Linked DNA regions of Lonchura striata. The protein of the gene in region 1 interacts with the protein of each later gene in a pairwise test. Links are inferred from orthologs where the notes say so. Each region holds a gene or a part of one and is shown on either strand. Other genes may lie near its edges.

What was found.
Region 2: the proteins of BHLHE40 (region 1) and HIVEP1 interact in a two-hybrid assay, tested with the Homo sapiens proteins (2 studies listed by BioGRID and IntAct). The link is inferred for Lonchura striata from reciprocal best matches to the Homo sapiens genes BHLHE40 and HIVEP1.
Region 3: the proteins of BHLHE40 (region 1) and RHOBTB3 interact in binary tests that used the Homo sapiens proteins (3 or more experiments, as listed by UniProt). The two-hybrid records come from large-scale screens. The link is inferred for Lonchura striata from reciprocal best matches to the Homo sapiens genes BHLHE40 and RHOBTB3.
Region 4: the proteins of BHLHE40 (region 1) and AANAT interact in binary tests that used the Homo sapiens proteins (3 or more experiments, as listed by UniProt). The two-hybrid records come from large-scale screens. The link is inferred for Lonchura striata from reciprocal best matches to the Homo sapiens genes BHLHE40 and AANAT.

Annotation. Positions count from the first base shown.
Region 1 is NC_134614.1:23,080,696-23,088,371, forward strand, and holds the start of BHLHE40 (class E basic helix-loop-helix protein 40), read left to right. Parts: upstream 1-4,351; 5' UTR 4,352-4,389; coding exon 4,390-4,469; intron 4,470-4,564; coding exon 4,565-4,634; intron 4,635-5,014; coding exon 5,015-5,122; intron 5,123-5,608; coding exon 5,609-5,732; intron 5,733-6,763; coding exon 6,764-7,623; 3' UTR 7,624-7,676. UniProt on the Homo sapiens protein: Transcriptional repressor involved in the regulation of the circadian rhythm by negatively regulating the activity of the clock genes and clock-controlled genes.
Region 2 is NC_134603.1:91,367,656-91,375,617, forward strand, and holds the start of HIVEP1 (zinc finger protein 40), read right to left. Parts: upstream 3,177-7,962; 5' UTR 2,789-3,176; exon of another isoform or gene 2,648-2,788; intron 1,842-2,647; 5' UTR 1,768-1,841; intron 1-1,767.
Region 3 is NC_134642.1:53,371,400-53,379,890, reverse strand, and holds the start of RHOBTB3 (rho-related BTB domain-containing protein 3), read left to right. Parts: upstream 1-5,285; 5' UTR 5,286-5,465; coding exon 5,466-5,869; exon of another isoform or gene 5,870-5,906; coding exon of another isoform or gene 5,907-5,908; intron 5,909-6,014; coding exon 6,015-6,231; intron 6,232-8,491. UniProt on the Homo sapiens protein: Rab9-regulated ATPase required for endosome to Golgi transport. Involved in transport vesicle docking at the Golgi complex, possibly by participating in release M6PRBP1/TIP47 from vesicles to permit their efficient docking and fusion at the Golgi.
Region 4 is NC_134621.1:4,057,702-4,064,954, reverse strand, and holds AANAT (serotonin N-acetyltransferase), read left to right. Parts: upstream 1-4,612; coding exon 4,613-4,769; intron 4,770-5,485; coding exon 5,486-5,640; intron 5,641-6,230; coding exon 6,231-6,536; downstream 6,537-7,253. UniProt on the Homo sapiens protein: Controls the night/day rhythm of melatonin production in the pineal gland. Catalyzes the N-acetylation of serotonin into N-acetylserotonin, the penultimate step in the synthesis of melatonin.

The DNA.
Region 1 (7,676 bases):
GCTTTATCCAGGCAGAGCCCGTGGCAGCCTAAACCGGTGCAATTAAGCAGCGATGGATGCGCGTATTTGCAATGTTCAATCTCGGCTTCTGACTCGTGACGGTCCCACGGCAGCGAGCGCGGCCAGCTGCGCCATCGAGAGTCTCACACAGCTGAACCCAGCCGGCCTCACACCAAATCGGGCTTTTGCAACTCCCAGGAGGCTGAGGCGGAGCCCTGGTGGGTGTCAAGCTGCTCCTCACGCCCTGCGCTGAGGTCCCACGGCGTCCCTTGGGACCGGCCTTGGCTCAGGGGTGTGGGCTCTGCCACAGCCTCGGGCACGGGGCTGGGAAAGGAGAGGTGCGGCTCTCCTGGGAGCTGCTGCCTGGCCACATCCCCCCTGCCCGCACTCTGCAGGACCACTGCCCGCACATCCTCGGGGATGGAGGCGCTGCCCGTCCCCGCCGGAGCCTCCGCTCCGGCCCGGGAGCGCAGCGGAGCCGTCCCGTTTGCTGAGCACGGAGAGAGCCCCGCTCCAGCTCTGCCGGAGCCAGCCTGGCTCCCGCTGGGCTTTTCCTGCTGCGGAAAGCACGGGGTGTTCCTGCCGGGGCCGAGGATGCCGAGGCGGAGCGCATCCCGCTCCAGCCTCGGCGGGGCTGAGCTTTCACCTCCGGTGCCAGTAACCCGAGCCGGGATTGCTGGAAATGGGAGAGGGGAGAGTCAGCGATTTGATTACAGGCCACAGGCACATGCCTGGCCTTCATGGATATATTAAGTAAGAGACATTTTAAAACAAAACCACCCTCAGTAACCTTATCGTAAGCTCGAATCCACAACCCATCTGTTAACTCCCGGCGCTGCCCACATAGGCTTCCATCAGACAGCAGTGCCAGGGATTTTTGGAACGTTTTCCCCCAAATCCCTGCGGTCGGAAGGGGACAGTCCCGGGGAAGGGGCAGATCCTGAGTCTCGGATTCCCAGCCCACCCCCAAACCAGCCCCCAGACTCTCACCTTCTCGTGCCTCTGTAAATAGCTGCAAATCCCCTTGGACAGAGCTGTCGCGGTCCTGTGACTCCCAGCCCTGCTGGAGGAGTGCTCAGGAGAGCTGCTGCTCCACGGATGGCTTGAGGGAATTCAGCCTTTTTAAACATTTTGGTACTGCCTGAATCGTGTGGTGTAAAGGAGCCCTCCATGTAGAAATAATTCAGCAAACACAAGCGAGAAGGCGAATTGATGATTGCATCAGTCCTTGCTCATGAAAACTGATCCCCGGGAAAATGTAACTCAACTCTCGAGCAATCTCACTTGATGCCCAAGAATGCAATAACTTCATTTGGATCCTCCTTTTTAGGGGGACTCCTAAATCCTTGGCAACGTCCCTTAAGGTCATGAGCAAATCCTGATATGGAGAATTGTTTGGCAAGCACGAGAACAGTAAAAGGGCTAAATAATTGGGGATTACCTCTGACCCTGATTTGTGGCTCACCACCCACTGCAGGAATGTACCGAATATCTGAAGGAGCATGCAGGAGTCAGACAATCCACGGGCATGAAGCCGTCCACGTACTCTTGGAGCTTGAACTTCGAATGCAGAGCAGGTTGGCCCCAAACCTCATTTTTCATTAGCAAAAGGCTGTAGCAAGCTCTAATTATTTCTGTTGCCTTGGATGAAGGGTCAGTGATGGGACAGATGAAAAATTGCCTGTGTTTTTTTCACTCTTTGTTTGGAAAAGAACAGCTTTGGTCTTGGGGACACAGAGAGAGCAAACCCTCTGCTCCAGGGCTCGATACTGAGGCTGGTTTTGGTCCCCTGAGCTGCAGCAGGGGAGAAACCATCACCCTCATGTCCCCTGATGCTTCTTGCCGAGTTTGTTCAGTGCCTGCAGGAAAGAGCAGCTCTGCTGTGGGAGGTCACAGCTCTGCTGTGGTTCTGTGGCACTCCGAGCTCCGTGCTCAGTCCCAGCTCCTCTCCTGCACGGCGCCGGGGCTGTGGCACCACAGAGACCCTCAGGGTCCTGCCCATGGAGGGGGTTGGATTGAGAAGTCTTTAAGGTCCCTTCCAAGCCAAACCATTCTGGGATTCCATGATCTTGGCCATAATCACCGGGTTTGCAGGCTGGGATGTCAAACGCTGGGAGGACCATGTTGAGTGGGACAACCCAAACATCTGTTCTGTGGAAGCCCCACGTCACTGATCCAGTGCTGTGGTGTTCACACTGGAGGTGCTGCTGGGAGCTTGTAGGGGAGATTTGGGGGTTTTATAGACCTTGCATGTATGGCTAGCATCTTTCTGAGGCTCTGACTTCCCTTGGGATTCTTCCTGGTAACAACAGACACCTTTGGGCGGGGGTAAGCCTCAAACAGCCTGTCTCCATCACCCATCTAAAACCTCTCTGTGCTGTCATGTAGCACCTCCTGCCCTCGGATTCCTGCCAGGGTGGAGCAGCCAGAACTCTGCAGGCAGTAGCAGCAGCTCAGTGCTGGAGCTCTGCTGCTCCCTTATCTTGGTAAATGCACCTTTTATCAGCTAAGCCTGCCTCTACTTGCTCAGCACTCAGCAGGGAAGTGACCACGGCCCTCCAGCAGAGCTCTGCCTTGGCAGGTACACACAAACCATTGTCATCGCTCGGCGTTGTGCAACCGCTGGCGTCCAGGGGCTGGCACGGGCATGGCATGGCATGGCATGGAAGGGTCTGGGCTGGGGGGACCTTAAAGTTACCATCATCCACGCCCTGCCATGCACAGGGACACCTTCCACTAGACCAGGTTGCTCCATGCAACACTTCCAGGGATGGGGCAGCCACAGCTTCTCTGGGAACCTGTGCCAGCACATCCCCACCCTCACAGGGGAGAATTTCCTGCTGGTCAAAGAATCACAGAATGGTTTGGGTTGGAAGGGACGTAAAAGCCCACTTCGTTCCAGCCCCCTGCCATGGGCAGGGATGGATGCCTTCCACTGGAGCAAGTTGCTGCGAGCCCTGGATACCCCCAGCGATGGGGTCCTCCCACCCCAAAACTTCCCTGCAGCACTGCCACTTCCCCAGAGCCACATTTTAGCGACTCTCACTTTATTTCTTCCCCCACATTTCCAAACTTTCCGTGGCTGCAGCTTTCTCTGTGTCCGTGTTTTGTGTCTGTGTCTCTTTGGGGGTGTTTTGTTGTTTTTTTTTTTTTCCTTTATTTTTTTTTCTTTCTCCCCGATCTCGGGACACAACAGCGGTACAGCATGGTATGGCAGGGCACGGCATGGCACAGCATGGCACGGCATGGCATGGTATAGTATGGCACGGTATGGCAGTGTATGGCATGGTATGGCACAGCATGGTATGGCAGTGTATGGGATGGTATGGAGTGTATGGCATAGTATGGCACAGCATGGCATGGTATGGCATGGTATAGCACAGCATAGCATGGCACGGTATAGCACGGCATGGTATGGCATTGTATGGCACAGTATGGAGTGTATGGTATGGTGTGGTGTGGTGTGGTGTGGTATGGTATGGTATGGTATGGTATGGTATGGTATGGTATGGTATGGTATGGTATGACACGGTATGGCACAGCACATAAGGCAATATATGGCACGGTATGGCACAGCATGGCACGGTATAGCATGGTATAGCACACCGTAGTATGGCACGGTATAGCACGGCATGGTATGGCATTGTATGGCACAGTATGGAGTGTATGGTATGGTATGGTATGGTATGGTATGGTATGGTATGGTATGGTATGGTATGGTATGGTATGGTGTGGTATGGTGTGGTATGGTATGGTATGGTATGGTATGGTATGGTATGGTATGGTATGGTATGGTATGGTATGGTGTGGTATGGTGTGGTATGGTATGGTGTGGTATGGTATGGTATGGTATGGTATGGTATGGTATGTAGCATGGCATGGTATGGCACAGCATGGCACGGTATAGCACAGTACAGTATAGCAGTGTATGCCCTGGTATGGCACAGCAAGGCACGGCACGGCACGGCACGGCACGGCACGGCGCTGGCACAGCACGGTGCTGGCACAGCACAGTGCAGCGGTGGCACGGCATGGCACAGCACAGCACAGCACAGTGCAGCGGTGGCACTGCCCGGCACTGCCCGGCACAGCACGGCACAGCACAGCACGGCCCGGCCCGGCCCGGCCCCGCCGCGCCGCGCCGCACGTGCGGGGGCGCGGAGCCGGCCCGCCCGGCGCCACGTGAGGCTCATGTGACGGCGGCGGGGGCGCGGCCGCCAGACGTGCCGGCGGTCACAGGGCTCCGCGCGTCGCTCCCGTCCACCCACCCGCCCGCATTTAACCCGGCCCGCGGCCGCCCGCCGCTCCTCAGCCCGCGCGGCGCGGGCGCGGCATGAGCAGCGGCGGCGGCGCCCGCAGCCCCTGAGCCCGCTCCGCCGCGGCCCCGCCATGGAGCGCGTCCCCGGCGCGCAGCCCCCGCCCGGCTGCCTGGGCAAGCTGCCCGCCCTGGAGAGCGGAGACCTGCCCGGGTAAGCGGGGCTCGGGGGCTCGGGGGGCTCCGGGGGGAGCGGCGCCGCCGGCTCCGGCGCGGGGCTAACGCGCTGCTCTCCTTTCGCCCGTGCAGGCTGGACTTCGCGCACATGTACCAGGTGTACAAGCCCCGGAGGGGCTTAAAGAGGAGCGAGGACAACAAGGTGAATGGGGGGTGATGGGGTACAGTGAGGGGTGAGAAGGTAAATTGGGGATTAACGGGGTAAACTGGGGGTTCACGGGGTGAGTCGGCCGGTGACAGCGCTCCCGGGGCGGGGGCTCGGCCGCTCCCGGCGCGCTCGGGACGGGAGGAGCGGCGGCAGCGGGGCCGGGCCGGGCTGTCCCCCGCTGTCCCCCGCTGTCCCCCCGCTGTCCCCCGCTGTCCCCCCGCTGTCCCCCCGCTGTCCCCCGCTGTCCCCCCGCTGTCCCCCCGCTGTCCCCCCGCTGTCCCCCCGCTGTCCCCCGCTGTCCCCCGCTGTCCCCCCGCTGTCCCCCCGCTGTCCCCCCGCTGTCCCCCCGCTGACCCGCTGCCCCGGCCCCGCAGGAGACCTACAAGCTGCCGCACCGGCTGATCGAGAAGAAGAGGCGCGACAGGATCAACGAGTGCATCGCGCAGCTGAAGGACCTGCTGCCCGAGCACCTCAAGCTGACGGTAGGTGCGAGCGGAGGGACGGGGGGAGCTCCCAGCGCTCTGCTGCCGCTTCACCGCGGATTTGGGCTGGGTTTGGGGTTTTTTTTATTTTTTATTTTTTTTCCACCGTGGTGCCGCACGCCCGGGCAGGCTGTAAGCGCGTCCCAAACTTCCCCGGGAGCTGCGGCTGCCCGCCGGACCGCCCCCGACACCGGGCGAGAGCTGTCCCCGGCCGGGCCGCCCCGGTCACGCCAGGGGCGGCAGGACCCAGAAATAAAACGCTTCTCTCCGGGCTATGCGGCTGGTCCGAAAGTACCCACAGGGTTCCGTGAGAGCCTTTTCCGTAGCCGGCTTTTTAACTTATTTCCGTGCAATGCTGCCGGCGGTAGTCCCGCCTGCTCCGGGTCTCACCGTGCCCGTCCTCCCGCGGCTCCCGGGGAGGCACCGGCGGCTCCTGCGTGCCTGGCCGAGCCGGCGGCGGGTGCCAACCTGTCCCTGTGCTCCCAGACTCTAGGGCACCTGGAGAAGGCTGTGGTTCTGGAGCTCACCCTGAAGCACGTGAAGGCACTGACCAATCTCATCGAGCAGCAGCAGCAGAAGATCATCGCTTTGCAGAGCGGTTTGCAGGCGGGTGAGTGTCCGGCCGGCAGGGTGGGAGCCCGTGTGTGTGTGATGGGCTTTCCCTGGGGAGCCTGTGAAATGTGCCTGTGACACCCTGGTACCGAGAAGGGAGGGGACAGGAATTCTGGCTTTTCCTGCTGTCATTTTCTCAGGCTTTGCTCATGAGCTTTCACAAAAAATGATGCATTGCTCAAGATGGTCAATGCAGAGTGCCCTGGGAGTTGTTTGAAATTAAACTGGGTTTTAAGTAGTTTTAGTTGCAGCCCAGGTTTGCAGTGAGGTTCTCTCCAAAGCCATTCGATTCTTCCCATTTGTGCTTGTGACGCAGTCTGGTTTATTTGGTTGTTTTTCTCTGAAAATAGATATAAATCTGCTTTCTATACACACCTTTTTAAGTGTGTATAGAAAGCAAATAACCTTAAGCTTTTTAAGTTTCTTTATAACCGAGCTGGCCTGTGCTCTGCAGGCAGAGGGGACCCGGTGCTTCAGCTTATCAGCCTTAGATGCACTTCCTCCTGCTGTTTTCACATGTGGCTCTCACGTGAATCAGACACAGTAAACCCGAATTTTTGGGAGGTGCCGTCCCTGCCCCGGCAGCCACAGGGAGTGCAGTGGAGCAGTGGAGTCCCCTGGGGCTGGTGGAGCTGCTGGCAGGGCCGGGAGCTCCCTGCCCCGAGGTGCAGGGCGAGGTGCCCTGCCTTCCCCGGGGGTTTCCTGGAGAAGCCACAGCTTGACTCACTCCCCTCCCCGCACTCCAGTACCTGTTGAAGGTGGATTTTACAGTAAATAACAAAAAAAAAGCAGGCAGCACTTTACGTGAACTTTTTATGTAAAAGCGGACAGGTGGATGTTCCAATGGAATTGTCCATTTCTGCAGAAATCTGGGGATTTCTGTTCATAGACTCCAGCTTGGCCAGTGCTTTCCCCTCTGGCCGTGCTGTAACCCAAGTCCAGCGTCGCCTCCGGTCCGCCTCGGAGCTGGAAATGGAACTATTTAGCATGTTGTTAATTTTTAATTTCTTTCTGTTAATGTTTCCTTAGGTGACCTGTCATCGAGAAACCTTGATTCCAGCCAGGAAATGTTTCGATCCGGTTTCCAGATGTGTGCCAAGGAAATGCTGCAATACCTGGCAAAGCACGAGAACGGCAAGGAGCTGAAGTCGTCGCAGCTGGTCAGCCACCTGCACCGGATGGCCAGCGAGGTGCTGCAGGGCGGGGCCGCCCGCAAGGCCGGGGACATCCCTCCCAAAATGCTGGACTTGAAGGAGAAGCCGGCGCCGCTGGGCGCGGCGGGCGAGGGCCACGGGAAGAACTGCGTGCCCGTGATCCAGCGGACATTCGCTCACTCCAGCGGGGAGCAGAGCGGCAGCGACACGGACACGGACAGCGGGTACGGGGGCGAGCTGGAGAAAAGCGACTCCAAAGCGGAGCAGCCCTATTTCAAAAAGGATACCGACCTCAAGTACGCTGTCCAGGAGAGAATAAGCTCTATTAAGCAAGAGACTGAGGACCCGCCGGCCAAAAGGAGCAGGCTGGAGTTGCCGCAGGACGAGGGCCCTTTTGGCAGTGACATGATGGGCTCTTCCAGCAGCTTCCTGGGCCCCCACGCTCACCAGCCTCCCCTGTGCCTGCCTTTCTACCTGATCCCGCCGTCCGCCACCGCCTACCTGCCCATGCTGGAGAAGTGCTGGTACCCGGCCTCGGTCCCCGTGCTGTACCCCAGCCTGCCGGCCTCTGCCGCAGCTCTGACGGGCTTCATGAACCCCGACAAAATCTCCCCCCCTCTGCTGATGCCCCAGAGACTCCCTTCTCCTGTACCGGCCCATTCCCCCATCGACTCCTCGGCTCTGCTTCAAGCTTTGAAGCAGATTCCTCCTTTGAACTTGGAAACCAAAGACTGAGCGCAGTGTGACTGGTTTTTCTTTTTTTTTTTTTTTCTGTTTTTTTTTTAGTT
Region 2 (7,962 bases), on another chromosome or scaffold:
GATGTCTTTAGCAAACAAACCCAAATAAATATTTCTTGCATCACCTCCGTGTTCTCCCGTGCCTGCACTCCCCTGGCAGTCTGTGTGCTCAGCTGTGAGCACCTTGGCCCTGCTATGTCTTGCCCTTTGGAATTCAGTGTCCAGACCACATCTTGCCTTAAAGCAAACAGGACCACCATTCCCACAGTTTTCAAGGTTTTTACAGGGAGTTCTTTCAACCTACATATAATCATGTTTGTAAGACAGATGGGTATTTTAATCCCCATTTCACAGGGGAGAAACCAAGACAGGAAGATGCAGAGTAGCTCGCTGCATAGCTGTGGACTGACATGACACCACTTCTGCCTGAGCTTTTGGCCACAGGCGCTGTCTCTGGGCTATTTTTCCTCTTGAGTTCACTTAAATTATACCTTGAGAACACTTCCAGCTTACAGTGGTGGCAGTTTCTCTGCTGTGGGTAACCTGTCCTATGTCCTGCCCAGAGGCAACACGAGAAGCAAATGTAAGTGAAATCCCTGGCTAGTTTGCAACTGGTGGTTAGGGTAAGATAAAGTATTCTTTGCTGAACTGGAGATTCATGGAAAAATCAGACCCGCAAAGAGTATCTTCAGGAGAAATGTGTTCTGCTGCTCCTATTGGACAAGCAAATGACGATTCTTTATTATTAGAGACAGTGCTTGTCTTCTCCCTTGTCTGTCCCGCCCTCCACCCCCTCCCTTGTTCTTCCTTTGTCTGGCTTTTAGACTTGGGACTCTGACTTGCTAAAGAACAGAGTTGCTGTTACTCTAAGCGCAGCAGCGTGAATATGATCCTACAAGTGCCACAAACATAAATTCGTGTACCAAGTCTGACCAGTCACAAACCCAGGACCCTGCGACCTCTGAAGCTGGGTCTGAACCTCTACTTGTTCTGCTCAGCTCTCCCTTACAGTCTGTCCTGCAGGCTCTGGGGCACTTAGCATCTAGATCCTTCTTTGCCACTCATTGTCTGAAAGCCTCAGATTGTGATCACCAGAGTCATCAGGGAGAAAGTGTCAGATAGTGGCCCTTTCTCACAAGAAGCCTCCAGAAAAAAGAGCCATCACAACTGCTGCTGGTGCCAAAGGAGTTCTAGGCTACTCATCTTTTCACAAGGACCTGAGTAAGTTCAAAAGAGATGCTCCAGCCTGCAAGTTGAAATGAGACCATATTAAACCCCCTGCAGCCAGCAGGAAAAGTTTCTTCTGATAGAAGTAGTCAAACCACCTCCCACCTATCAGTGAAAATCAGCCCTCTCATCACACCTATGTGCACAGGAATGTAATAAGTGCCCTTATTATATTCCTGCAGACAAGCACAACTGTCTTAACAAGAAAGACTCAATGAGGTGTCAAAGAGGAGACAGGTCCTCAGGGATGTGTATCATGTGGTGGCAGCTTATCCTCCCTTGAACATAAAATCAGTCATTGCAAAGTCAGTTTGGGTCAGAGGACAAAACGAAGAACTGAAAGTCTGGCCCCTTGGAGCTATTTCCATGGTCTTCTGAAAAAGCAGCCAAAAAAGCAGCTGTGAGCTGGGGCCTCTCCTCAGCTGGTTCCCCTCCAGTGGGCAGAACTAAGGGCCAAAGGGCTGCCTTGAGCCCAGTTCAATGTCGTTCCAGCACGCTGCCCCCCGGTCAGGTAAAAAATGCAATCCTAAGGGCTTTGAAAAGGCAGCATACCAGCTGTTTATCCCGGGCAGACCACTTCATCTTTTTCTGTTTTTCCATCAGTAAAAAGGAAGTGCTTACCCACTCAGTAAAGTACTTTTGGAAAAGTACTGTGGATGATTGCTAGTAGGAGGCACAGAGTAATCTTCTCAAACCTGCAAATGAGGGAAATTCTTTAAAACTTTTCAGTGAGATTTAAAATGCCACATCAATATGCACAGAGGAAAAAAAAAAAAAAAAAACACAACACCACCTTCACTGCAGAATTTAGATACTTTTAAAATTTCACCTAAAAGGAGTCCTGAAGGATATAGATCCTCTTTAATTGACTATGTGTATACCTGAACAGGGAAGATTATTGAGGTTTTCTTCTCTCTAAAACTCTGCTGTATTTTCAGGACGACACCTATTTTTAAACATCCTCTCATTTTACTCTTGAAACCTTGTTCAGAAACTGTTTTTCTGTAATGGCTCACAGGTATTTTATATATAAATATATACACATACACACATTAGGCTCTCAAGAAACCACGATACATTAGGTAGTCTTGAATAATTCATTGTTAAGCACCCCATGATAAATCTCTAGTTGAACAGTATGTGATTTTGCTTGAATTCTTGGGATAAATTGAATGTGAAGCACTGTGGTAAATTTAACTACGCAGAGCATCAAATGTGAAAACTTTACATTGTACATTACATTCTGACATGCAACTGAGAATCATTATTATTAAGGCTTCGGGGAATTTTCAAGGGAACTTCTGAAATTCTGAAAAGAAAAAGAACAAGACTGAGTGCTGTTCTCTATAGAAGTTGAGATTTTCTCAGAGAAGGGAAATTCCATAAGTAGTCTGTATTGAATTAACATAAAGGTTTCACTAAAAGAACTGTTGTCTATTAGCTTATGCTCTGAGGCTTCTCATTGAGTACTACATATGAAAGTCAGAGGATCTTGGCTTACCTGGTACCAGAGGGTGCTTAGAGCTTTTCTAGGGCTTGCCACTCCTGCAGCGGGGCTGGAGAGATAGGGCAGCAACCGCTGATGTGAGGGGAGGTAATTTCCCCCTTTTCTGTAGCAGTAGCTGTCACCCCAGATACTCACAGCTCTCCCTTGTCAGCAACAGCCAGACGCTTTCCTGGAGGTAGGCAAAGGCAACAGCACAGGGACCTGGTCATGCACCACTCCTCACAGCCTGCAGCTCCAAACAAGAAGATGATCTCCACTGGGACATTTTGCATGGCAATATCCTTCATCTCCACCTTTCTCAAGATGTCCTGAAGATGAGTTGCTTTTCATTGTCCCATAAGTTGGTTCAGTTCTTTCTGATTTGGCATTAAATAATGCAAACTGTTCCATCAAAGAATTTTGGCACAACCTTTCTTTTTATTTATGTGTATACACTGCAGCTCTGTGTGGTGGTACCTGGTACCTGGTAGTCCTGTGGCCAGGAAAATGTACAAATCTGTCCAGCTTCAGGTTAATCACATGATATAGGGCACAGTTCACTGACAGAGCTTCACCTTTTTCCAGGTATTATTAACCAAACATTTCAATGAACTTCAACATCACTGATACCATATCTACTTATTTATATCATATTCATCTTAATGATATCAGAGCATCTCAGACAAGAATACTTGTGTTTAAGAGGCTACGCTAAATTCTCTTTTGGTGATTTTTTGTCCTTCTCCCTCTTTGGAAGAGTCCCAACTGCTGGGGAAGCTGGGGTGCTCCCCCAAGAGTAATCACAGGACAGCTCATGGAGGCAGGGGAAGAAAACCTACTTTAACCCTAATTTTACCACCACCACCACAGCCTAACATCAGCCTTCTTTCCTCCCAGCACATGAGGCCTCATGTGGCTGGTCACAGGACAGAGGTCAGACAAGAGACCAGGCGCAGAGCAAAGCAGCCAATGAGAAGGATATCTTCTAACCAAATCCCTGTGAGGTGTCCTTTGGTCCTGCAAGCCCTGGTGAGACCAGTGCTGAGCCCACACCTCATGCAGCATCCTCCCTGCTGGAGCATGAGACACCTGGTGAGGCCAAGAGACAGGGAGTCACCCTCAGCATTTTCCAGGCTGGCCCCACTCCTTGTCTGGCCAAACCATTTATGACGGCATGCCAAAGTCTAAGGAGAAAAACAAAAAATAATTAAAATTGTACTGGTTGAACCACTGTTGCCTTTTTGTCCAAGAGGAAGCCCCAGTGGCAGGCAGATAGTGTGACCCTGCTGCTGACTTGCCCTTAGCCAGATAAGGAGCAGGCTGGACCACTGGCAATGCTGTGAATGCCTCGTACTCAGCACACCACACATCCAGCAGGGTTTTGTGGAATGTGACATTAAGCACTTCTAGGAGGGAGATAGTTGCCACACAGAATTATGAGATCTGGAATGGAGAATTCGGGAGAAGGCAAAGGCTCATCTGAAGCGCATGGTATGATACCATTTGGGTTATAATAAAGGACTGAGCCAGTACAAACCCCCACCTCCTCCCAGAGATGGAGCTCACCCAGGGCCCTGAGCAGAGTCTTGTGTCCAAACATGAGACAAGTTTGAGCTTGGGCTGGTGCTCTGAAGTTAGAGTAGATGTACCCATGAAAAGCAAGTCCCAGAGCTTTTGGCTTTCCACTGAAAATTTCTTCTGTCTTTTCACAAAGAGATGCTTCTCTATAGGTCAGCAGGCTCTGCACTTTCACAGCCCTTTTACTCCCTTCCACCCTGGTATTTTTACTTCTGAGTAAGACAGGTTTCTGACCTTTTTTCATGAAGTTGCTCATATTTTCCACTGCATCTCCTTTTTTACCTCACCCCACCAGTTCACTCTGATCTTTCTTTCTCAGTAGCTCTAGGTTCTGAACTGCTCATTTAAATATGGTGTGGCTTGCCAGCATTTTTTCCTAAGCCTTTTATTTTATCAGTTAAAGAAACAGGAGACACACAAGGCACTTAACACAAGTGCACCTTGCCAAGATGCCTTCAGTGGTATGGTTTTTCTTTAGGTTTGACCACAAACATTTTAACATATCTGAGTGATTAAAAAGCATTCCAACCCATGCTTTCTTCCCCAAGTATTTCTGCCATTCAGTGGCCCTCTAGTATTGTTTGCCACAGACATGTCTGGGAGAGGTCTTTTAAATATCACTTTTTGAGCACGTTAAGTTAGCTTAGCAGCTCAAAAGTTGCAGGGTTAAAAAGAAATAAGCAAAACAGGCTTATTTTCTGTGGAAATGTTTTCCCTTGCCTCCTTCCCAGTACAGATATGAATAGAAGAAATCCACAAAGGAGAAAATAATCCCCGTTCTATTGAAGATTCTCAAGTATGTTAAAATTTACTTGCTTACTGGAATGTTTACTTTGTAGTCATATTGCAGATCACTAGGTACAGATCAACAACAAAGTTTCTAGTTCCTTTAGCCTTTATTCTTCAGAACTGTGAAGTGGCATTCAAATAGTACACAGAATATTTGCAGTGGTTCATCACAAACTACACAGTTCACCTTTTGTAAAAAATGCTCTATAATTTAAAGATGTTCAGTCATCCTTAAATCCAAATGGCTACAACAATAATTAAACATATGGCTTTGCTGTGAATTATCGTGGTTTTATGTCATTTCCCTGTTTATGAGGTCTCCTGAAAAATCATTTTCTCAAGTTGTGGCCAGTGATTTTATAAATCTTTTTAGTCTAAGGCTAAGAAAGTTAAGCTCCAATGCCTGAGGAGTGTAGAAAATTTTAAAAACACACTGTAGGGAACAAATACAAGTTGAAAACACAGCACTTGCACTCTTACAGCTGTCCCAAAATTTCACAAGGCCAACAGTGTAAAAGCCATGGATCTCATTTTCCAAAATTCTTATCACAGCAGTATGACTGCATCCTTTATCCATTTTCACACATTGATAAACAATTACCCATGTAACGTACAAGATAGAGGAAAGACAGACGAAGGAGAGGGAGAACTACAGTGAAAGAAACATGGGACAAGGCTGGCTTCTCACTGCAGTAAGGAGAGAAATGACTGGTGTTTGGTTTTTCATGGATTAGCTGCTGGCAGCTGCAGCATCCAGCCCTGTTTGCCCCTGACCCAAACTGCTGCTCCAGTCTGGCTTGGCAGCCTCTACACCGACTTCTTCACCTCCAGCTGCACATTCAGCCCTTCCAGAAAGTTGTGCCGTGGCTTCATCACATTCCAGTTGAAGCTCTTTTTCATCAAAAAGAAGTAAGACATTTTACAACTGGCTCTATCTTCTGTTTAAACGCTTGAAAGGCAACATCAAAACATGTTCTAGGGTGCAGCAGCAGGTCTCAAAGCTGTTTGTCAGGTGGCTTAAGAAGTGGTACAACAGAAAGAGCACACTATTTCCTTCAGAGGTGAATCATTCCCCAGCCCTGTCTTTAACGCAAGTGTCAAAGCCTTTTTTTAAGTCACAAAAATGCGATTTATATATTATTTTGACCAAACTATGGAACAGCCATTCTGATTAATTAAATGTGTGTACATCTGTGAAAAGTAGAATCTGACACTGATGCACTGTTAAATTTGCAGATAAGCTCATGGAAACACAAGAAGAAGCAGAAGTTAAGACATCGAATCCTCCACTGGCTTAGATTGTCTAAGTTCCTTCAAGATACTTAGATTATATTATTGCCATAGAAGTGCTACAGGAGAAGCAGCCAGTCAACCCATAAAACCCAGAAATGGTGTGTACTCACTTCTTTAAAATACTGGGTTTGTCTGCTTGTCCAGAAGAAATCCAGCATGGAGGCAGGCCAGCTGAGATAAAGAAAACCAAGACACATGAGGCAGATGCTGGACACAGATAGGAGACTAGCCTGTGAAGAACAGCTCAGCTCCCCAAAGGCTTCAGGCACCAGAGTGCAGTGAGGGGGAAGAGTACATAGCACAGCTGTGAGTCCCTCTATGGAGAGGCATTTCCTTTGTGGAGTAATTTTTCCTGTGCCTATCTTCAGGAAAGAATTTGTGTGTCTGTTAAGTCCCACTAATGCACTCTCAGAAAACCAGAGCATGTGCTTAAGGAGTTCTTGTATCAAGTTTTACAGGCATCATCTGAGCATGTGAGTTATCCCCTTGGCTTACTGGGACCATGCATTCCTGGAGTCCCTGATGATCTTACAATAGCCTCCACAGTGAACTCAAATGAAAAAACAAAGTGAATTATTATTATTAAATCAAGAAAGTTCATAATTGAAACATTACTGAACACCTCCCCCATCTAAGGCTCCATTTTGGGGTATCTGATCCTGTGAACAGCTTGCACAATGAGGCACCAAGGTCACCGGGGCTAACAAACCACAGGTTGTGCTTTCTGTTGAGTCAGAGGTTTTGCTGACAAACATTCAGAGCCAATTCTGCAATGATCCACCATGCATGTTCTTCCTGTTAAGACAGTAGTGCCATTCTAGTAATGTTTTAGAGATCTTTCTCTGGTAAAAAAACATATCTGTGCATTACTTTTTGTTGTCTCTTAAACAGAAATACACAAATCTGTAAAAACACTTCTAATTATGTTTAAAAACCAATCACATTGAAACCAAAGCTGATGCCAAGAACATATTATTCACACAAACCAAGAGATGCAAAAACACTTTGTTCCACTGCTACGGACTGCAGGATAAAGTAAACAGGACAATTAGTCTGGTTTATGGAGGCCAAACTCATGGTACCTACCTTTGTATCTCCCCTTTTTGCCCCACAGGCTGCATATAAACTTTCTTTTTAATATACCCTTTCCACTTACACATTCTTTTTAAGTACCTCTTCATTCCCTACTCCCATTCCCAAGGCCTGTCTTCCTGCTGTGTTTTGTCTCTTTATCCAGTTGTTCTCCACATTACTTCTCTCCCAGTTTCAAAGCACCTTTTCCCTACCCAGACTGCATGAAGAGATACTGTGTTCCATCTTATTTTTCCCAATCTGGATGTACCTTGAGAAGTTGCAGGTTAGGAAAGGAAGGATTGAAGCTTCCTTCACTCATTTCTCTATCATCTTCCCTCTGGACTGTTTGGTGGATACCTTTTAAGCAGCTCCCAGTGGAAGCAGAGAGAAGACATGGAAATACAAATAGCTGCTTCTTATTTTCAAATTTGAGACCTGCTGCCCAGCTCTGTTACTACTGAGGCCAAAAACATTTCTTTATATTGTGTGGAGTTGGTTGGATGAAGTGACCAAAAGGTGATTCTGGAATCTTACTGCAGGATCCCAGCCCCCTTGACCTATACAACACAAGTGGATCAGTCTGACTGATAAGAAGT
Region 3 (8,491 bases), on another chromosome or scaffold:
TCCAGGGGATTAAAATAGCTCAGAACTTTCAAAAAATGCTGAGTGAATGCCATCCCTTCCTTGGCCCCAAATAACAGCAGCATCTCTGGCCAGGGTGGTACTTCTCTAAGTGCCTTTTTGGAGAGGACACTCAGGCAGCAGAGATTTGTTGAAGGGGTTTGATCAGAATGTCTGGCCAGGCAGCCCCAGAAGGGATCCTTCCCTGCTCTCTAGTGAGGATCATGTGCCACTTCCCCATTCTTTGTGGTGTTTGCTCCATGCCCACCTCTCCCTGCAGCTCAGCCTCAGCTCAAGTCCAAGTCAAGGCATGGGGAGGGGTAGCAGGGCAAGCTGGGGTCAGGTGATGCTCCTCTGCATGACATAATGGTGTATGTCTGCCTTGTGGCAATGGCTTCCCTTTCTAGAATAGCAGAAACAATATATGAACTACTTTTTTTTTTTTTTTGATCCTTTGACCTTTACTGTAATGCAATTTGTAACACTTATTAAATTATGACATAAGAACTGCAAGGTGCAACTCTGCATCTGCTGGGGATTTTCACCAGTGTGAGAGGGGTTTCTTCTGCAGCATGTTGTACTTTCAGCCCTTCACCTCTGAAGAAGGTTGGGACATTTAGGCACCCCATGAGATGGGTCCCCACCTCATAGCACAGGACCTTGTTTCTTTCACTGCCAAAATCAACAAGATTGTCAAGCAATTCTTGTGTGGGACATCTGCAGCAGCAGACCTGGCTCTTGTTTTCCACATCTCACCCTCACAGGGTTAGCAGCTTTCCACAGCTTATTAGTTGCTTGCACAGCTCTGTTCTGCCACAAAATGGATCTGGTTTTAAATTTAAAAGTGTCATATATTTTTCTTTCTCTTTCTCCTCTTATAGATAATTTCCCACTCCCTTCATATTTCTGTTTCAATGTTGTACTGATGCTTATTCCTTGGTACTAAAATTAAGAGCCAGACATGGTTAAGGGATACAGGGTTTTTACTTTGGTATTGAATAAGGATTTTTATGGTGTGACACGCCTCCAAGGTGGAATACTCAGAAATGCACACACAGAGTAGATCTCATATACAACTTTATACACCTTGTAAATTAGCATATCTATCAAAGATGCTCTAATGAGAGACTTGAATGAATAGCATGATATCTCCTTGTCCTGAAGTATTCCCACAATGGCCCTAATCCTAGTTTACAGGATGTATTCTAGAGGGGACCTAGATTTCTCAAGATAGTGTAGGATTTCTGGCCTCCAACTCTGAGTCCTTTAGGATGTTTGGTCTTGTGGCCCAACAGAATACCAGGACTATGCTAAATTATCAGATTTAAAGAATTACAAGTATGCATGCTAAGGGCACTGAGAATAATAAAAACTATATAAAAGAAAAGACAAAAAATTGTAGTGGCATCAGCACTGGTATTACTTGATCTCATTCACTAAGTTTAGAAAAAAAAGTAGTAAAAATATATGTTAATTAATGGACAGGATCAGATAAAATTTTTGAGAGCAGTCATAAGAAACTGGCAAGAAAAAAAATTGTGTCTGGGGTCTGGGTATCATAGGAGGCCACCATATATTCAAAAACTCTTTTAGCAAGCTCTGGGTAATGCCAAAGCAGTGGAAGCAGCTACCACTCCTGGTGAGATGACACAGTCTTTGAGAAAATGAGATCCAGGGATAAACACAGTCTCTTGGGAAGCTGTTGGAGAGGCTCCAGTGAAGTTCAGCATCACTGGCTTCTGGAGGGAGGGTGGTAAGTATGCCAATAAAGGAGGTCATGTGAGCAAAATAATCCTCTTGCACTTTCAAAAAGCTTTGAGAAGCTTTTTGCAAAGCTTATTAAACTTTGTAAAGAAAATAAGTTGCCACAAGATTGGATGAGAGGTTGGTTTTGGAGTTGAAAGCTGGTATAAGAAGAGGAAGTGAGGGACAGGGCTTAGTGGTCACTCTCCAGGAAGGAGGAGATTTATGCAGTCAGGGGATAATTCAGGTCAGAAGGGACCTCTGGAGGCCATCTAACTGAACCTCCTCTCCAAACATGTCTAAAGGGCTAAGGTTATGCAAGGACTTCTTTAGTGAAATTTGAATATGACCAAGGATAGCCTTTCCACAACTTGATGCAAAAGTCTTAGAATTTGAGCTGTTTTTTCTTGATGCCTCCATCTGTGACCTCTACAAAGCAGTGAAACCTGTTGGGCTGGAGAGGTATTGGGCTCTGACTGTAAGTGCCTGTGCCATCCCTGAAACAGACTTGAATGTGCAGGGTGGGGTAGAGCTTGGTGGTCCTCAAGGTCCTTTTTAAATCAAACCATTCTGTGATTTATGTGTGAAATTTTTTTTAAAAAATTGCTTCCAAGTTTGAACAACACTACATGATTTTTCTGGCATAGTTATGCTGAGAAATACTACTGGTCCTGAGCACTGTCCTTCCATTCATTTCCCATACACACACAGAGATGTCTTTTATTAGTGGGGATGTGGCAGATGGCTACAACAGAAAACCTTATTTTTGTTTGCTGGTGCTTTGTCAGAGCAGATCTTGGCTGGCAGATCCTGCAGCAGCCGTGTCTACTCTGGACAAGCACCAGTAAAACCAAGCCTATTGCAGGATTTTTTTTTCCCAGTATTAGGAGAAATAGGTCTATACAGCAAAGTGTATTAGTGTTATTTGGAATTATATTCTATCTTTGAAAAAAAAAAAAACTGGAAATTTACCTGTTCTAGAGCAACACATTTTCTCTTGCACCTAAAGCTGACTACACCAGCATCAGCAGCAGCAGCAGGAGCTTTGTGCAGTGTGCAATTCAGCTAATATGCAGGTTTGGCAATGACTTTGACTTCAAGTACATTAAATCTCCTCACTGTCCTGAAAATATAGGCTAGATAATTCTGGATCAATGCAAGTAAGGCTACAGATTCCACTAGGGAAAAATCCTCCTCCTTGACTTGCTTGCACTTTACTCCTTGCACTAGCAAATATCATTTCCCTTTGTCATTAACAACTGTGTATTTGTTTTCAGTGCTTTATCTGAGGTACTCACCAGAAAGCTACAACGAGAATGGTTTGAAAAAAAAATGTTCCAGTGCAAACTACACAGGACCGAATAGGTGATTGTTTCCTGGACCTTGTCAAAGACTCCCTTCTCTGCAGTTTAGTCTTTGTTAGCAACAATGGCAAATGTCTGCTGGATAAAAGGTTTGCTGATCACAGGAGGGGATTCAGCTTTCTGATTGCCAAAGAGAGAACAGTCAAGCAATCCTCTGTAATCCTCTCAGTTAAACAATCTTTTACGGCTTTCCCTTGCATTGCCCGTATAACTTGTAGAATGCATCTAGGGTAGGGGTGCCAAGCAACTTCCCTATTTGTGGTATTTATTATCCTGCCAAGTTTAAATAATTTCCTTTCCTGTTTTGTTTTGTTTGTTTATTTGAAATGCATTGCACAACCCCTGAGCAATGCAAGCAAAAACAGTTTACCTACTTTGACAGCAGAACAGACAGCATTCTCCAATTTTAATGCTTGCTTTTTAAATATTGTTTTCAGGCATCTGATTGCTGGAAAACTGTTACTAAAACAGTTCTGTGTATTTTAGTATGCAAGCTTTAAGTGCTGTTCATCAGCCGAGATGTATCTTGCATCCACAATCTGCACACTTTGCCAAAGCTGATACTTCTGTCAGTCCTAAGTAGTTTCCTGGGTGGTTGAAGGAAGTGAGAGGAAAACAAAAATGTTTTCTGTGACCCTCCATCTCAGTTGGTACTCCTACCCATGTCACCCCTGGGCAGGACTAGGTCTGAAGCAATGAATAAGCTATGTTAATTGGAGTTTGGGTTAATTGGGTCACTCCTCATTAGTACTGCCTTATTTACCAGTTCAGTTTTTCTTGGTATTACATCTATATATGTGTCCACATCTGCACATGTGGGTGTGTTGCATTTATAATATGCATGCATGTATTTTAAACATATGCCTACATGAATCTGTGTATGCATATTTATGTCTGTATATGCATGTTCACATTTATTTATGTATTTAACTATCTATGCATTTAGTTATACCAGGTCAGGCTCATTAGTGATGTGAAGAACTTTTCTTGCAAAGGTTTCCTCATTTTCGATAGGTAGATTGCTACAAGCATAAATTTAAGAATTCCAAGGGATCTTCAGTGACCTTTAAAAAGCACACAAATAGTCATGGTTGAAAAATGTTGAATGCTCTGTTGACTCACAACATCATGTACCCAGGGTTTGGGCACCACTGAGACTTTGGATATGGACAGTGGTACTTCACAGTCAGAGGATCATCTGGGGAAAAAAACAGTGGTTTACTGTGATACTTTTTAAAACTTACCTATGAAATATGCATTCTAACTATTTTCCAGGATGAAATAAAACCACAACTTCAACTTGTCATTTGTCTTTTAGTTTTCTAGAGCAAAGCTAGATTGAAAAGCAGAAGCTAGGATGGGATAAAATGTGCAAAAACAAACAGGTTAGGAAATTATCTGTTGTTTTGTTCTTTGGGTTTTTTTCTTTTTCAGTAGTCCCTGTAGAATTTATAATAAAAGTAAAAGTAATAAATTAGCATTCATTAGCAGATAATAATATTTTTTTATCAAAACAGTCTTGCCATTCAGTACTATACCGATATAAAACTTTGTTAGTGACATCAAATGGCATCTCCTAAATTTGCAAATAGTGGAATAGTACTTTTCTCAAAGTATGGATTGTTGCAAGTAAAGCTCTATTAATTATTCTGTTGATAATAGTATCAAGTCCTGTTTTGAATGAGTTCTTGCCCATGGGATTAACAACAGCATGTGTTCACATAACACAGAGTCTTGTGTACTATCTAGTATGCCTAAAATATTTTTACTCTTTTTTTATTATTTTAGTGTATACAGTGGTATGTGACAGCAAATAGTATTTTTAGAATGGATTTGGTATATTTCCTGTGTAACTCCTTTAGGTAACCCTGCGTTTTGGGTTTTGGGCTAGGTGATCTTCAGAGGTCCCTTGCAACTTAAACCATTCTGTGATTTGTGTTTGTTTTACTACAATGGAAGAGCATCCTTTTGGAAAACTGTGCTTTAAACATCACATGAACACTAAAAGGCGTGAGTGGCATTTTAGAAATTGTATTACTAATCAGCCTACTATTGAAAAGATAGATATTATTTAAATAGTAATGGAAAAAAAAGTTTAAATACTTTAAAAGAGAAAGTTTACACTGTTCTCTCCTTTTTTTGCGGCAGTCCCAGGTCCCTCCCCTGGTGCAGAGAAGCGGTGGCACCGTCCCCTGCTGAGCGGATGTTGGTCCTGTTCCTGCGGGGCGGCAACAGAAGGCGTGCGGGGTGGGACACGGCTCTGCCCCATCGCCTTTCCCTGCCCCTGCTCACCTGGCTGTACCTGCCCTCGAGACGTCATGTCGCTCTGCCATAGCGTCTGCGGGGCTGGCTGACGTCAGGATGCGATGGCCGGGACCGCCCGGCCGGACGCGACATCGCCTTCCGCGACAGCGCCGGAGCACCGCGGCTACCGCAGCCTGCGGTGCTGCTCATCTGCTGCTGCTGCAGATCCCGATCCTGCTGCAGATCCCGATCCTGCTGCAGATTCCGATCCTGCTTTTGCCGCTGCTGCTGATCCTGCTGCTTCTGCTGCTGTGGCTCCGGCGTGCGGCTGCAGTCCATCGCCCGGAGCAACCAGCACCGAGTTATCCAGCCTGGCCACAGCCGGGGGAATGTGGCAGGAGTCCCCGAGGTCACCGCAGCGAGGCTGAACAAGCCAAACCCGCTGGGGATTTGCAATGCAATCAGCCTTTCCAGGTTTCTTTTCCGCTTTGCTCCCACCCTGCTGTTGGATTTGAGATCATGTATGTGTTTTGCTGTTGATTACAGGAGGGTGTTAAAATGTAAGGAGGGAAAAGGATTCAGAAGGATTAATATATTAGTTTTGATTTTATTTTCTTTCCCTTCATCTTTGTTAACACAACTTTGTCTTTATTATTTATATTTTAGGTCGGTTAATATTGTAGCTTTTGGGAATGAAAGAGATGGTTTTTCTGAGGACAATCAGCAGCCGAGTCTCATCTGGAGCTATCTCGGGAGAAGTGCTCTCATTTCCCAGATCGACAGCAGCTTGTCTGCCAGTCACGTTGGAAATCCAGTTTTTACTGAGTATCAAGCCTGCGTATTTGGAAATGTCAGACTGGTGGTACACGACTGTCCTGTCTGGGTAAAAGATCCATCTCACTCTTTTTAACTACACTTAAAAGTGTGAGCTGTTTTAGTAAAATGAAAGCATATCCTAATTTTAAATGGTTGCCATTGTTGTGGGATTTTTTTTTTTTTTTGTAGTTTTATTATTGCATTTAGTAATAAATCTTCAAAAATGTAACCAGGCAAATGCTGGGAAATCTCAAAGGTGCTATAAAAAGGTTCTCATAAACAAACCTCTGCTGGGCCTTCCCTGTAAGAAGGTGGTTTTTTCAACTTCTTGCTTAGTGGAAATTTTGTGAAAGATAATCTAGAGGTAAACAAGAATGCCTTCTTTGTGACACTTCATCATAAACTCTCTCTCCAAATATTTGTCAAAAATAAAATGACATTTTATTTTTCTGTAAAAAAAAGGCAATAAGTTTTCCAGCTGTGAAAAACGACAGATTAAAAGTTTCGATAGGTTGCAAATACCATGTAGGGAGTAATTTTACTCCTCTTACAAAGAATACTCACGTATTAACATTATTGCCTTTATCTGATAGTAAATAAAAAAGATTCTGGCACTGTTGCAAGTTGTTGGCACTTGTGTTAGTAAGTGAGAAAACTTACTTTTGTAAGTAAGTTTGGAGTGTGAGCAGATCAATGATTATGTAAGAAATTATACTGATAATCTAAATTAAAACATATTTAATGACTACTTAGTAGACTTAAAAAAAACCCTCAGCTTACCAGCTTTTAGAAATTAAAACAATAATCAGTTTCAGCACTATAATTCTATCCTTTGAGTGATTTTTCTACTCCTGTAAGGGAAACCTTTTGTAGAATCTGCAGGAGCCATAACAGCTCCATGAAATTATCAGAAGCCAGCAATCTTAAAATGAAACAATCCAGTTTAGCTGCTCTTTATTTCTTTTTTGCCAGAATGGACTGGGGATCCTGTTTCTAATCTGTGAAACTGCACGTGACCTACACATGCAGTTTGCTGGAGTCACTGGAGTGCAGCAAAGAGTAAAATCTGAATATAAATGAAGTCTGTAGGGCTTCAAAGGCTGTTTCAAAGGGATGAAAGGAGGTGGGTAAGGCAGTGGGGGCAGCTGGAGAAGGAGAAGCAAGAACATAGACTGGAGACAAAGTTGATGAGTTTTTACATTGCTTTAATTGCATTTGGCTTTCTGCAGAACAAGGTTGTTCCGTTCTGAAGACCTTGTAATTTCTGCCCTTCAAAAGTTAGCTTGTTATTATCTGAGTTATTGCATTTCTGAGGCCTTCAGTTTTTTCCCCTCTATCAGCTAAAGGAGGCAGGATATACATTACTGAGAATGTTGAGGACAAATTAGCATTTTTCTCTTCATGGAAGACATGTCAGATAGCAGGACTGGACTCTGCAGCAGGTTGTCATGCATAAAGCAGTGTCCTTGGTAGGGTAAGGCAGAGCAGGACCATTTCCCGCAGCCTGGGTGCTTGAGATTCACTATGTCACAGTGGCTCGTTCAGGGCTGCTAGCCTGGAGAAACAGCACAGAACAATTCAAAAGGTTGACAGATGTTGCTTCAAGCCATATTCTGCATAGAAAAAGGATTGATGTTTCATGTTACCAAAGCACAGAGGTGGTGGTATGGGGGGGCCTTGCAGTATTTCACCATCTGAGCACAAGGCAGATTTGCATTTTACCTGGGATTTGTACCTTATCTAGATTAAATGCATATGATCAAGACAAGAAGGTCCTAGATATGAACTTGGCAGCTGAATGCACTGATAGCTGTGAGTCTCAAAACTCAAGGGTGCCCAGCTGCTCTTTGTCCTCCACAGCCATCAGTCTGGAAATGCAGTGTTGATGTGGTTTTACTGAGTACAGCTCCACAGTGAGTGGGGGGATCCTTTTGCATAGTAGATTGTGGTGCAGTTTAATTTTCTTCCATTTCAGTCTGCACCTGTCTGTCAGCCCAGGACACTATTCAGCCTTCTGAGTCTGCAGAAGGGTCAGCAAGACAGGTGTCTTTGGGAAATTACAAAGATAAATTAATGATTGCCAGCATGCAAACTAGCATGTTGTGAGGAGCTCTCCTTCCCCTGGCAATTGCAGGGTGCAGGATGTAAATGCTGACTTTGGGGACCTTATAATATCACAGGGCTGTAGAGATAGCAGTGGAACACCACACTTTTCAAAATCTGAAGGCAAAATGTCAGAGTTTCCAAGGACAGATTGCTCTTTAGTGTGAAGTGCTCAGTAGACAGTGTGTCACTCTCTGGGTGTACCAGTATGTCTTGCTCTGGCA
Region 4 (7,253 bases), on another chromosome or scaffold:
ATTCATCTGCCTCCCACATGTCGCCCCTCGCAGCAAACCCTCCCCGGGGAGGATTGCTCTTTTCCTGAGTGGGTGCTCCAACAGAGGGACCAGCCCCGGGCCTCGCTGACAGCTCGGGGCTCTTTGAAGATGCTGAGAGAGCTCTAAATATGCAAATCTAGGCACACTGCTGTGGCTCTAATTTAATGGAGTTGTTGACCCTCTGCAGCTGTGTGGGAGCAGGAAGAGACAGGCTGGAATGCGGCATCCCTGATTGACTATTCCAGCCACGGGCCAACCTCTGCTGGGCTGGGCTGTTTTAATGGCTGGGACTTGCTCCAAAATGCCATTTCTGAAGAGCAAAAACCTGCTGGGTCATATTTCTGTTTCGATTCAAAGAAAAAATTTAAAAGAGAGTGATAAGGGTGTAGTTCTAGGTAATTTTGCCCATAGCTCTAAGCTAAAGCAGGTCCAGAGCTGCCCTGGAAATGTCTCCAGCAGAGCAAAGCCAGCTCTGCCTCCTGCTCCAGGCTTCTTTCAGGATTGCATCTGGTTCCCAATGATAACTATGATGCCAATATCATGCTCCTGCCTGGGATAATCTCTCTTTTATTACATGTGTTCTGATGGAGACAAACATTGCTGGTTCTGCCTGTCCAGTTTCTTATGTAACAGCTCCCAGGGACAGAGGGCTGCATGGGGGAGAGATGCTTGGATTTTGGAATAAACTCCTTGGGCAAGAAACCTGCGATCTGACTCCCCGTCCTAAAAGGAGTCAGCTGAGAAACTCCCCCCTGCTCAAGCCCAAGCCATGATCGTGCCTGGCACAACCAGCAGCCTCCCCATCCATCCCCAAATAAAGTTCATCCACTCTGGGCAGGGCTGCCTTTGGCTTCCTACGGGCTCCTGATGCTGCTGGAGAGGTCAGGAGCAGGCACAGGACCGTGCTCCCTTTCCTGGCTGAGTCCCCTGCTGTCCCTGCCCAGCCCACAGAGCAGAGCAATCAGCTAAATGCTTTATCCCTCTGTGGCCAGTCACACCAGGAAAAAAAAAACAAAACAAAAAACCAAAAAAACCCAACAAAAAAAACACGAAACAAAAAACCCCTATAGTGATCCCTTTGCTGGCCTGACACCTTAAAGCCTCTCACTTCTCCCTGTCTTTCATCGGAGTTCTAAACTCCTTAGGATGTCATCACGTGCTCCATAAATAACAGATCTATATAAGCAGGGGCTGTGAGGGATGCAGCAGACAGAGGAGGGGAGGCAAAAACCCGGATCCTCCCTGGAGGCAGGAGGGCAGGGCTCAGCGACCTGGCTGGTGAGTACCCACATTCCTGTCACATCCCAGGGACACTGACAGCCTTGGGGACAGCTGCTGGTCCCCTGGCCACTGCGGCTTGCTCCTGTGTCCCATTTCCCCAGAAGGGTGGGAGGTTGGCATACAAGGCTTGGCTTGCTGAGAAGTGGTTTTGGCACAGGGCAGGGTGTGACTCTCATCCCAGCTCCTGTCTCACCCCTACACTTCCAACACGTGCTTCCAAAATCCAGCTGCAGGGACTCTTCTCACTGAAACCCTCACTGTTCTCTGGGCTCTTTCACACAGAGTATTTGATTTTAAGACTGGGTGAATAACTCTGTCCTGTCAACTAATTTTAAAAATCCAGCTCCAAAGCCAGGCAGACAATTCATAACTTAGTAAAAGATATTGCCAGGGGGGTTCTGTGCACCTGCCTGTTTATTTGCCTGTGAGCATCTCTCTGTACTGTGGGGATGCTCTCATTTCTGGTGCACAAACACAAGTAATGGCAGGAAAAATGTACAGAGCAAGCTCTTGGTTCAGTGCTATGACACACAGACACAGTGGGCTCATCTCAGGCAGGTCTGGCAAGGAGTCACAGCACAAAACCCAGCCTGGGGTATATGTGACTTGAACAAATACAGAAGGCTTTGTTGGAGCATCAGAGGACAGATAAGCCACGGAGAGGGAATTTTCCTCATTGTTGTTTCTCACTTACTCTGGGACCTGGGCAGAGTTTGTTTCACTTTTGCAGGTTTGATGATTCCCATGGTACCCCCGTGGCTGTGCAGGGCTCCTGGTTTCTCCAGGGTTAGGGAGTGCTGTTGGTTCCTCTGTGCTCTGCAGGTTCTATGTATCCCCCCTCCCCAGAAGACCTTATACTCTTCAGGGAGCTGAGAAGCAAAGCAAGAAGTTCATTTCCAGAAAACAAACAAATATATCAACCCTTCAGCTGCATAACCTGGGTTGTCAGCAATAATGTGCTGGAGGGGAAAAAATACAAGGAAAACAAGCAAGGAGCAAACTTTCCCCTTCCCTGACTACTGCTCCAGGGTGTTGCTGGTTGGGGTCTCAGGCAATTTCTAAGAATAGCTGAAGGGACCTGATTGCCCTTTCCCAGTTTTCTCTAACGGGATCGGAGCAGCCACTTAAATACAAGGTTTTGAACCTTCAGCTCTGTGGATGTCTCTGTAGAGACTTGCTGTGACTCAGTTGTTTCCAGCCTCCACATGCTCTGGGATAAAGACTTGCTCTTGGGCACTGAGCACTGAACGGTGCCTGCTGGAGAGCAAACAGCCCTGAGGAACCTGGGCAGGTGGAAGGTGTCCCTTCTCCCTGCAGGGGCCTGAACTGCATGACCTTGAACAGTCCTTTCCAACCCAAACCACTCTATGATTCCACTGTCCAGCTCTGTAATTCCCATGGGAACTGAAATTCTGGCCCTGCCTGCCATATTCAGCTGCCCTCTCTGCCCTGCCATACCTGCACAGCCATCCCAGCCTGATCCAGCAGCGTCCCCAGAACTCACCCCAGGCACTCAGCACCCCCAGGATCAAACCACCACTGCATTTTCAAGGTCCCCTGAGCTTACCCTCTTGCCTACTCTGGGATTTATTCATGCAAATGAATCCCTAATCCAATTAGTAGGACGAGGAGTTCCAGAAGATTTGATAATAAACTCTACAAACATTAGACCCACCCCCCACTCCCCCAGCACCCCACTCTCCCTGACAGCTCACCCTGCTTTACTTTCCTCCTGCAGGAGCATGAACCATCCATTCCCAGCATGAGTTCTGTCGGTCCTTGGTGGCTGGAATGAGCCCTGGGGATGCTAAATAATTCCTCTGCCAAGGAAACCCTCTGTCCCTGATGGATCTGCTCCCTTAGATACACACCCACAGCCAAACCAGCGATTCATTGAAAATAAATCCTGACCACCCTGTCTCACCTCGGGCTGCATAAGACTGGCATTTCAAGCATCCAGCCCTTGGCATTTCAGGATGGAAAATTCCCAGCTTGAGCCAGTTGTGCCCTGTGCAACGTTTGTGCTGGTAATGCTTTTGTTTCCATAAATCCTATTAGCTGGAGGCAAGCCTATAATTAGCAGGGAAAGCCAGCACCTCTGAAACAATAATCAAAAATGACCCAGCTTTGCTCTGTCTTCACTGGAAATTGCTTGCATATTGCTCTGAGTTTGGATGGATGGTCGAATGGTTGGCTCTGATAGCCATTCCCACAATTTCTGTCTGCAGAATGCGTGTGCTTGGTGAAGTTATTCACTCAGTTTGTGGTTCTCTCTGGGTTTATTAACTCAGTTCACTCACACGTGAAAGCAGAGGCAGATTGAAGCTACAGGCTCTGATCCAGGTCAAGGGATTTGTCTGGGCTGTGCAGAATGGGTCTGCCAGATGCCCTTGGGTGCTGGTGACCCTCTTGGAGGAACCTGTGTTGAAGGTGTTGAGGGTGGAGTGTCATGGTGTCCGGTGTCTGGTGGGATCATGCTACCCCAAGCTGCTGGGGCGGGGGGCAAAGCCTGAGGCCACCTCACCAGGGAGGACAGCCAAGGCTTTCAGCCTCAGTCACCTGCTCAGCCCTGCCAGGGAGCCACTCTGTGAGGTGGACATGACCTGAGAAACCAACAGAGGTTGAGCTGTGACACTCACCTGCTCAGTGAGCCAGAGAAAGAGGTAAATCCTGTCAGCCTGTGCTCTGGAGGAGGTGGCTCTGGCTGCCTGGTGTGTGTCCCTGTCAGGGCACCTCTGTGACCTCTGTGACAGCTGTGCTGTTCCAGAAACACCAGAGCATCACAGGGAACTTCCACACAGATGCTTCTTTTACAGCTCTTGCCTTCCTGTGGGCACATCCCACCCTGCCTGTCCCCAGGGCAGCAGCTGGACTTGCTGCAGGGTTCTCCTGCCCATCGCGCTGCCTGCTGCTGACATGTCAGTGCTGGGCAGGATGCTCAGCCCCACGCCTGCTCCAGCTCTGGCAGCTCTGGCCCCTCTCCCTGCTCTGTCCCACCACCGGATCACTGTGCTTTGTCCCCCTGCTCCCTGGGGTTAGCTCAGCTCACAGCCGCTGCCAGCCTCCTGTGCCCCTCGGCTCACAGCGCGGGCAGCTGGGCTCACTGCGGGCGGATATTTGCTGTCCATACAAACACAAACATCCACAGGAAAAGGGGGGCAAGCCGCTTAATCCTGTCTGCGAACAACAGCTACTCCCACTGGCTGACAGCGCTGGAGGAGCTCGGCTGGAATAAAGGCTGTGGGAGCCCAGCCGAGGGAGCGGTGGGAAGCCAGGCAGGAGGAGGAGGAGGAGGAGGAGGAGGAGGAGGATGTCGGCACTCGGCGCCCTGCCCTTCCTGAAGCCGGTCCAGCTGCGCTCGCCCCGCAGCTCGCCCGGGGGCCAGCGCCGGCACACGCTGCCCGCCAGCGAGTTCCGCTGCCTCAGCCCCGGGGACGCCGCCAGCGTGTTCGAGATCGAGCGCGAGGGTAAGGGCGACGGGGGAGCCTGCCCGGTGCCCTCAGCTGCACCCCTCGGCATCCTGCTTCCAGGCTCCTGTGCTCCTTGTAAAGGAGAATTCCCCTGCGGGTGCCCTCGTGGGAAGGATGCAGTGGCCGCGGCTTGTGGCCAGGCCACCCCGACGAGGTGGAGGAACTGTGGTTAATGAGCTGGAGAACCACGGCCCCAGCTCGCCCCGGGAGGTGATGCTGAGTAGGACCAACTGAGCGAGGAGCAGCTCTCCCAAAACCCTGTGGAAGGATAGGAAAAGGGGAAGTGGGAGGAAGGACACCATGCTCTGCCTCCTGCTGCACAGGGGCATTTTGAAGTGCCACCCTGGCAACCTTTCCCTGTTTCCTTCACCATAGGTTCCCTCACCCAGCCTATTTCTCCCTCCTCTCCAAGGGCAGGGGCAGCCAGGAGATGCTGAGAGGGAGGGCTCCATTCAGCACCTGCTGCTGTAGCTCTGGAATCAGCAGAGTTAGGAGCCGGTCACTGGGCCATGGGGAACTGCTCCTGGAGAAGCAGAACTGCTCCTTGGAACCATCTGTGTCCCTCAGAACTCCTTTAGCCCTAGTAGGCAGCAGGACACATGCCATCTCTGCCCATCACATCCCACTTTGCCTCTCCTACATCAGTGCTGGGAGTGTTTCTGGGTCAGGTGTGCTTTGTCTCTCTCACTGAGTTCACCACTGCCCCTCTCCAGCCTTTATATCGGTTTCTGGGGACTGTCCCCTGCACCTGGACGAGATCCGCCACTTCCTGAACCTGTGCCCGGAGCTGTCCCTCGGCTGGTTTGAGGAAGGGAGGCTCGTGGCATTCATCATCGGCTCCCTCTGGGACCAGGAGAGGCTCAGCCAGGTATGACCCAGCCCTTCCCACCTCGTGCACCACCAGGGAGGCATCAGCTGGTTTGAGGGCAGCAATCCAGGACCCCTTGGGGCACCTCAGCCTCAGGGGAGAAGGGGCAAATCCAGCCTCAGGTCATTCAGTGAAGGGGGGATAAAGGCAGGGGTGACTCTGCCCTCAGGCAGGATCAGGAGCTTCCATGAATCCAAGTGTTTTGGTTCTCCTTCTGCTAGAGACCCTCCAAACCCTGTCTCCTCCCAGGGAGGGGTTTGAGTGGCCCATCAGGGCACCAGCCCTGCCAGAGCCTGGGGACCAGAAAAAGCTCTCTGGGGCCCTGCTACTCCCAAAATCTCCCACAACTACCTGCTACGGGGCTGCTCTGGTAGAAACGAACTTTCTCATTAATTAATTCAAACCACGCAGTTAAAAAATATGCCAACCAATTCCCCTCAACATTCATTTTAAAATTAAAAACCCTCCGAGGACGATGGGGGCGAGGGATGAACAGGGATGGGGAGGATGTGGAGCCTGCTCCTTTGGGGTGGGAATAAGGAGCAGGACGGGACTCGCTGGTGGTGCCAAGTGCCGTTTCCCCCTTGCAGGCAGCACTGACCCTGCACAAGCCGCAGGGCTCGGCCGTGCACATCCACGTGCTGGCCGTGCACCGCGCCGTGCGCCAGCAGGGCAAGGGCTCCATCCTGATGTGGCGCTACCTGCAGCACCTGCGCTGCCTGCCCTGCGCCCGCCGCGCCCTGCTCATGTGCCAGCCTTTCCTCGTGCCCTTCTACCAGAAGTGCGGCTTCCAGGCGCTGGGGCCCTGCGGCGTGACCGTGGGCGACCTGGCCTTCGTGGAGATGCAGCACCCGGTGCGGGGACACGCCTTCATGCGCAGGAACAGCGGCTGCTGAGCCCCTGCCCTGCTGCCCGGGGGGATGAGAGGCTGCAGCTGCTCCCTCTGCCACATCTGCCCGCCAGCCACACCAGCCCGGCCCCATCCCATCCCTGCAGGGCTGGGCACGGGAATTCCTGCCAGATCCTGCTGGAAGCATCAGCTCCCCCGGCTCAGCTTTAGCCCGGGCTGTGCTGAAGCAGAGCTAAACTACCTGGGCTGTGCTAAGGCAGAGCTCAACTCCCTGGGCTCAGCTTTAGCCTGGGCTGTGCTGAAGCAGAGCTCAGCTCCCCGGGCTCAGCTTTAGCCTGGGCTGTGCTAAAGCAGAACTAAGCTACCTGGGCTGTGCTAAAGCAGAGCTCAAATCTTGGGCTCAGCTTTAGCCTGGGCTGCGCTGGCAGGTGTGGCTGGGCTGCAGGGCCACCAGCCCCCTGGGATGGAAAGGCTTTGCCCTGGGAACAGCTGGGGGCTCTGCTGGTTTGGGGACACTTCCACCCACCGTGGTTTGCTGAGACACCCAGCAGAGCCCCTGCAAACATGTGCCACAGCCTGGCACCCCTCCACCATCACCACCACCACGAGAGGAGCAGAGCATGGCCCAGTCCTCCTGAGCAGCCCCCAGACCAGACAGGGGCCATGGCAGACACCCCCTGCCCACAGACATCCTTCCAGCCCCCTTGGAGCACACTCCCAGCCCACAGCCATCCTCAGCTGCACACTGAGGAGCCTCCCCAGG